Linked DNA regions of Callithrix jacchus. The protein of the gene in region 1 interacts with the protein of each later gene in a pairwise test. Links are inferred from orthologs where the notes say so. Each region holds a gene or a part of one and is shown on either strand. Other genes may lie near its edges.

What was found.
Region 2: the proteins of RASSF5 (region 1) and RASSF2 interact in binary tests that used the Homo sapiens proteins (3 or more experiments, as listed by UniProt). The link is inferred for Callithrix jacchus from reciprocal best matches to the Homo sapiens genes RASSF5 and RASSF2.

What each region holds. Positions count from the first base shown.
Region 1 is NC_133520.1:34,086,092-34,089,904, reverse strand, and holds part of RASSF5 (ras association domain-containing protein 5), read right to left. Parts: intron 1,034-3,813; coding exon 923-1,033; intron 1-922. UniProt on the Homo sapiens protein: Potential tumor suppressor. Seems to be involved in lymphocyte adhesion by linking RAP1A activation upon T-cell receptor or chemokine stimulation to integrin activation.
Region 2 is NC_133506.1:12,241,733-12,245,545, forward strand, and holds part of RASSF2 (ras association domain-containing protein 2), read right to left. Parts: intron 3,813-3,813; coding exon 3,652-3,812; intron 2,901-3,651; coding exon 2,799-2,900; intron 1,440-2,798; coding exon 1,388-1,439; intron 914-1,387; coding exon 792-913; intron 1-791. UniProt on the Homo sapiens protein: Potential tumor suppressor. Acts as a KRAS-specific effector protein. May promote apoptosis and cell cycle arrest. Stabilizes STK3/MST2 by protecting it from proteasomal degradation.

The DNA.
Region 1 (3,813 bases):
ATGATCATACCTGCCACTTGGGGCCATTGCCCCAGCAACACCCATCTGTCTCCTTGAGTTCTTTCCTGCCTCTACTGACCTGGGAGAGCTAGAGGAAGGAGCAGAGATCCCTTTCCCCACAGTGGGCTGGGAGAAGACCCTCAGGATCCAACTACGGAGACCTGTGGGGCTGCAGTGGCTTTCCCTCCTAGGAGGCTCAGACCAGCTCCCCCAAACCTCCTGCACCCAGGCAGACACCAGTTGCCTTTGGTGAGTCCCCACTGTAAGAGGCAGGGTGTAAGGTAGCCACTCTAGTGTGTACCTCTGAGCCAGGCAGGAAGCAGGAAGGTTCTATAATGACGGCCTTGGAGAACCAGCCCACTAGGTTTCCTCCTGCGTCTCTTTACTAAGAAACAGCCTTTAAGACTTAAACCCAGGACCATCTGTGACTGGATTTTCTGGTGCCCCATCTGGCTAAACCCTGAAGAGCCAGTTGGTGCCAGCCACCAGCAGGGGGCAGTGTTTTTCTACCTTCTCCCTTCCTTTCCCAACCAGGTACGAAGTTCTGTGCCCTCTCGTCTCTGAGCACTGCACAATCGAAGGGGTAGGAAGGGAAGCAGCTGAGTCCTATTGTCCTGGCTTCCTGGGGGCCACGCTGTACCAGGCCCTTGGTCACTGTATATCATTTAATCACTTAGTTTACGTCGAAGCTCAGAGAAGTTAAGAGAGCTTCCCAAAGACACAAGCAAAAAACGAAAGGGTCAGATCTATTTCCGTAAAGCACGTGGAAGGCACTGAGGGCCCTGGCTTCCAGACCCCTGAGGCCTCTAGAGGCTGGAGGAAAGGGAGGACCTGCCAGGCAGTAGCCACAGAATTTAGAGGGCGGGCAGAGGTGCCAAACCCTAAGCAGGTGGTGGAGTGGGGGCGGTGAGGGGGGGCTCACCAGCTTCATGCCCAGGCAGTTCTTCTCTCGCGTGTTGTAGCTGTCGATCTTCTGCTTGATTTCCTGCAGTGTGGGTGGACGCTGTGTCTCCTCCACAGGTTTACAGACATTCTAGAACAGACACAGAGTGGAAGTGGGGGTGCAGTGGTTCTCAGGGTGAGAAAGGGAATGACCACGCCCTCCCCAAAGCCTCTCTAACCAAGAAGTGAGCACCAGCCCTGCAGAGTTGAACTAACTGCACGGACTCAGAGTGAGACAATGAGAGGTCAAATTGCAGCTGTGCCAGCATCTAGCTGACTCTCCTGGGAAAGTAACTCAGATTTCTCTAAGCCTCAATCTCCCCATCTGTGAAATGGGAACAATAACTGCTTGTCTTAAGTGTGAAAGTGTCTGGCACTCAGGCACTGACTGTGAATCTGGTGAACAAGCAGAGCTGCATTTGCTTACGAAGGGTTGCTAAAAGATGCTTCTTTGATGCTGTGGGAGATGCAAAATACAAGCCATGCTGTCTCCTCAAGGAAGTACCAACACAGCTGGAGGGACAGGCATCTACCCGTGATGCCAGTATATGCTGCTGATGGGAAGGACAAGAATCCTTTTAGATCTAAAGGACCAAGGACACATGGACGCCAGTTCAGGCCCCACATCACTTGCCGCAGTGCTTTTCACATAGCAAGAAGTAAGTATCTATTTGTCAAATGAATGAGTGAACTGGCAGGGATGAAGGGGTGGAGCCCTCCACCATAACAGAGGAAACAAACCGCTACTGAGCACAGGGACACCCAGCATTTACTTAGCACCTCCCCTGTGCCAAGTACTTGGCATACATTCTCTCATTTGAGTCTCACAAACCAGAAGTCTGCAAGATCGTTTATTAAGATAGACCCCATCTTACCCTATCTTACAGGTGAGACTATTGAGGCTAAGAGTGTGTACAGAACGAAACAGAAATTCCAGGTCTGTCCTGTTGAAGTCCTTCTGTGAGACCACGTGTTCATTCTCCTCATATGTTCCCAGATGCCTCCTCCTCCCACCCCCTGGGAAGGATAAGTGAAGAATGAAGTTGAGGAGATGGAGGTCAATGCCCTCACCTTGTAGAGAGAGTACAGGGGTGAATTCTGGGGTCAAAGCCACTGTCCCTCAGTCAGTTCTCTGGATCTCCCTCATATTCACTGTTACCCACTTCCCGGTTTTATCTTCACACTGTCCCTGAGTGGCTGGGAGTGTTGGAACAGGTTGGTCGGAACCCACCCAGAATTTGCCTGATATTAGAAGTATAGCAGACTTGGGGTGGATCAGGATTCTTTTTCAGCAAATGAGGAAACTGAGGCCCAGAGAGGGATGACTCTAACACCATCTGACACTGTCCTGTGGGTGTTTGGGTTTCGCTGGGGAATTTCAAAGCTGCTGTGACATCATACCACCACCCCGCAGGACACAACGGGGCCCCCGTGACAGAGCTTTGCCCTACCTTCCTCCCTTCAGCAAGCCGTGTGAGAGACACACCACCCTGACAACCTGCCATCACTTCCTTCTCACACTTTCCAATCCCCACAGAACCGATACAACATCAGGCTCTGGCTGTCAAGAGGAGCTGGCATGGCTCCAGCCTCCCGCCTCCAACCCCTCAGCTCAGCACAGCTGACATCCTCTTTTTTTTTTTTTGAGACGGAGTCTCCCTCTGTCACCAAGGCTGGAGTGCAGTGGCACAATCTAAGCTCACTGCAACCTCCACCTCCCGGGTTCAAGTGATTCTCCTGCCTCAGCTTCCCAAATAGCTGGGATTACAGGTGTGCACCACCACACCCAGCTAATTTTTGTATTTCTAGCAGAGATGAGGTTTCACTATATTGGCCAGGCTGGCCTCAAACTCCTGACCTCAAGTGATCCAGCCACCTCTGCCTCCCAAAGTGCTGGGATTACAAGTGTGAGCCACCGTGCCAGCTTCTGATGTCCTCTTTCCATCATGGCATCATTCTCTGGCCTGTTGCTCCTTTGTACTCTTCCCCAGGACTCCTAATCTATTAATAAGAGTCTGTGCTGGGTACTTTCACATACAGTCTCTTACATACTATGTATGTCATTCTTATTTTACAGATTACAAAACAGGCTCAGAGAGGTTAAGAAACATGCCTATGGTCACCTGCTAGTAAGTGGCTAAGCAGGAACTGGAATCAAGTCTAAAGCCCATGTTCTCAATTCACCATGTAGCCACCATGGGACAGCATCTTTTGCTGAAGGGGCTGGCCTGCCACACCCATAGTGATCATTGAAACTCCATGCTGCAGGGCTGGGATGAGCAGCTGTTAAACCAAGGCCTGTAAGTTACCTGATCTGTGAAATGCTCATCTAAGATATGTCTAAGCCATGGGTCAGGCCCCAGAGGCACCATGTCACCTGTGATGGTGTCACCTGTGATGGTGGGAAGGAAGAACTTCCTAACTTGAGTGAGATGCAGCCACCAAGAAGCAGGGCCCAGCCTTCTCCTGTGTGTCTTCCCAGGTCTCTGGAACTGAACCTTGATTCTGTTGCAGACCACACAAGGGCAAGCAGCCCTGGCCACTTGCTGGAGGTGAGTAGGAAGTAGTGTGAGCCTCATAGACTCTCTTCATTCACTGTCAGCCCGTTAACCCAGGGACTCTCACAATGAAGCCTCTCATTCCCCATCCCTTCCCTTGGGTAGCTCCCAAAGCTTCCCAGCCTCAGTCCTCGCCAGCTGAACACGTGTCTGTGGCACCAGGTGTGCCTGGCCCTGGCCTTACCCCCATCCCACCTTCCCTCTGGAAGCTTCCAGTTGGAAAAACACCGTTGTCTGATTACTATTATACACTCCACTCTCTCTGAAGCACATAGGCTGTTGCTCCTCAGGAGCTAATAGCTTTCTCATACTT
Region 2 (3,813 bases), on another chromosome or scaffold:
CCCCAAGACCCTGGGGCTCTGGATGAGTCACATAATGGCAGACCTGAACTCAACCCACACTTAGAGTAGACCCATTGCTAACAGACCACAGAATCATGGGCAAAAAAGTAAATGTTTGCTGTTCTAAGCTATTAAGATTTGGAGATGTTTGTTACCATAGCAAAAGCTGACTATTACATGGCTCACTTCTTGTATTTTTTTTTTTTTTTTATGACAGGGTCTTGCTGTATCTACCACCCAGGCTGAAGTGCAGTGGTGTCATCACAGGTCACTGCAGCCTAAACCACTTGGGCTCAACTGATCCTCCCACCTCAGCATCCCAAGTAGCTGGGACCACATGCACACACCACCATGCCTGATTTTAAAACTTTTAAAAAGTTTTTTGTAGAGACAGGGTCTCGTTTTGTTGCCTGGACTAGTCTCAAATCCCTGATCTCAAGCAGTCCTCCTGCAGCGACCTCCCAAAGCGTTGGGATTACAGGAGTGAGCCACCACAACCAGCCAACTGCTAACTTCCTAGCATCGCTAAGAGTGTTTGCAGACATTTCTCATCCCTCTCACAGTACCCTAGGAAGGTTCAAGCAATTTATTCCTTCTATGGAAATCACTTTCTGCCTGGGCATTCCTCCAGTAACTCCCACCTTCAACCTGGCTTCAAGAGAACCTGGTACTGAAGAACAGCAGTAAAAGGGAGCATTGGTCAAAAATGTCATTCTATACCCTAGTTGCAGGTGACCCAACCAAATCCCCACCCTCCTGAGGACAGACCACCTGACCCAAGGGGGACTCACATCATAGGTGACTTCCTCCACCTGGTCCTTCTCCATGAGAAACACTTTGGAGACCTGCTCACATGGGCCCTGGAGGATTCGGGCAATCAGCGGGTAATCGGTGGTCTTCAGCTTCTGTTTCTCTGCAATCACACACAACCAGGGGCAGCCCTGAGTTTGGCCTGAGGCCTTTCTCACATTAAGTAGTGGTCAATGCAGGGGTTCAAATGGACCAGGACCTTAGGAGATGCTGCCATATAAGTAAGGAGACTGATTTACAAATGAACTATTCCATAGATGTAAAAAGCAACCTACTCCCACTCCCCGCCCCTCAACAGTACCACCATGCCTCAAACCCCTTGGAGGAATTGGGTTTATCTGTCTCTTGAGAAAATCTAGTTCCTTTTTTAATAGGCAGTTAGGTTTAGGATTTTTTTACTGGCCACATAAGGCAATCCCCGGTGGACTCACACAGCAAGCCCATCAGCCTTGAAAGCAAACAACATTTGGAAGTTTCCAAAACCCAAACAACAAGAAAAGGAGACAGAGGTATTTTTTTAACTTGCTATTTTGAGATAATTAGAAGTTTTAAAGTACACTGTGTCCTTCAGACTTACCACCACTCGTATGGACCACGTACAAGGCAAACTCCTCTGCTGAATTCTCAATCTGAAGCAGGAACAAAAGATACTTATTGAAAGTATCTATTTAAACATCCCAACTTCGAGGCTTTTTCTCTTCTTTAACAATACAAAGCTAAGTATATTTTAGGCTGTTCTGAGGGGAGAGCTATTTATCTACAACTCTCAGAAGTGATGAGAAGATCGAGAAGGCAGATGAGTTTATCAATAATACAGTCATGCGCTTAACCAAGAGGATGCATTCTGAGAAAGCGCATGTTAAGCGCATGACTGATTTCATTGTTGTGCAAACATCACAGAGTGTACTTACACAAACCTGGATGGCAGAGCCTACTACACACCTAAGCCATATGGTACAGCTATTGCTCCTGGGCTACAAACCTGTACAGCATGTTACTAAACTCAATGCCGTAGGCACTTCTAACACTGGGAAGCATTTGTATGTCTAAACATACGTCAACACAGAAAAGGTACAGTAAAAAAATTGATTATAATCTTAGTAAAAAAAATAATAATAATCTTATGGGACCACTGTCGTATATGTGGTGCATCATTGACCAAATGGGTCGTTCTGAGGCACATGACTGGGACAGATAATAGCTGCCATCTATTGCAATATGCCAGGCATAGTTCTACAAGCGTTAAAGGTTTCAACCCATCTAATGCTCCTGACAGCTCCTGACAATACCATAGCGAGGTCCCATTATCCTCATTTTACGATGATGAAGCAGAGGCAGAGGTACGTTAAGTCGCCCGCCCAATTCATCCAACTCACAGGTGCTCAATGGAGATCTAAACCCAGAGCCTGTGCTCTTAGGTTGCTAGGCTACACTGGCTTCCATTAAAAATAAGAATACCTGGTCTCCAAGAGATTGTGGAAAACACAGAGCAACAGGACTTTAAAAGCACTCCTGCACTATAATTTGCACATCTATTTAAGTATCATATTTCATATCTCAAAGTAGGTTTCCCAGCTGTGTCCCAGAAGTCAATCTTTGCACTGAGCCCAAAACCAGTCATCAGGCCCTAGGGTCCTTCTAAAGTAGCCAGTAGCCCATGAAGGATTTGAGGACTGATGTTTCTCAAACTTTGGTAGGCACCGAACCCCCTCCCCTGCAGGTTTGTTAGACGGCGTCCCCGGCCTACCCCTCACAATTTCGGATTCAGTGGGTCTGGGGTGGGGACTGAGAATCTGAATTTCTAACAAGCACCCAGGTGATGCTGATGCTGTGGACCTTGTCTTGGATCATGAGAATCTAAAGAACCCAAGCCCTTTGCCCAGCATCCTGCAAACCATACCATTCCCATAACTCCCCGCACAACCACTCTAGGGGTCCCAAGGCACATCTGTGACCCTATCTGTGGCCAGCCAACAAAGGGAACTTGCCTTAAATTTGTTGAGCAGAAGCTTCAGGACCTGTGGGGTGGTCATGGTGCTATTGATGCGGACGTTGGTGACAGAGCCATAGGCTGGAGTGAACACGGATGTCTGTCAATAGAAGGGGCCAGCTCAGGGTGGGAGTGGGAACAAGGACCCAGTGCTAAAATCCAGGTGCGGTACAGGGCACAGTGACGATACTCACAGTGTACCCCCTGGAGCCCTCGGCAGCCTGGCAAGCAGCAGGCTTTACAGACAAAGCAGCCCTCCGGGTTTGCATAATTCAGTTCATGCTCTACACTCACAAAGACCCTTCCTCTGGGACTTCAGCACAAGGCTGTCTCTGACTATTCTCCCACCATGCACTTCCCTCCAGGGGTAGGATTTGAACAGAGCAGGAGGAAAGGAGGGGTCAGCTAGCTCGGGCAGGGTTGGTGGTGCACTGACACCCCCAGGACTGAGACCTGCAGCTCTGCTTCGGAAGCAGCCCTGAGCTCCAGGAAAAGCCAGACCATACACCAACTAGGGGCACAGTGTGCAAGAAGAGGGCGTAACATGGATTTTCTTGGGAGGGACTGAGAAGCTGTGTTTATGGGATCTTCAAGGATACGGCAGGGACTGCTTTGTATAACCCCACTGAATTCACCCACCACCCTAGGGGGGAACCCACAGGGGGACTCTGAGCCTTCTGACCTGGGGTCCCTCCACCCTCAGGAGCCAGCAGGGCTTGCAGCCCACCCACAACCCAAAGACTAAACAGCAGCACACACTTGGCTTCCCAGGCATGGCCATGGCTGTAGCCCTGAGGTGGCAGCTGCCCAGGAAGGGGTCCTCCCCCTCCCTGTCCCCCCATCCACTTTACCTTATGGTTGTAGAAATGGCCATTGATGGAGAAGCGATGGCGTCTGATTCGCCGCTGGTCACTAGGCGTCCTCACATTGCCACGGCGACGCACCCCAACATCACTGCGTGTGCGCATCAGCTGTGGGGTGTCCTCCTGCAGGGGCTTCAGGCCCCTGGAGTC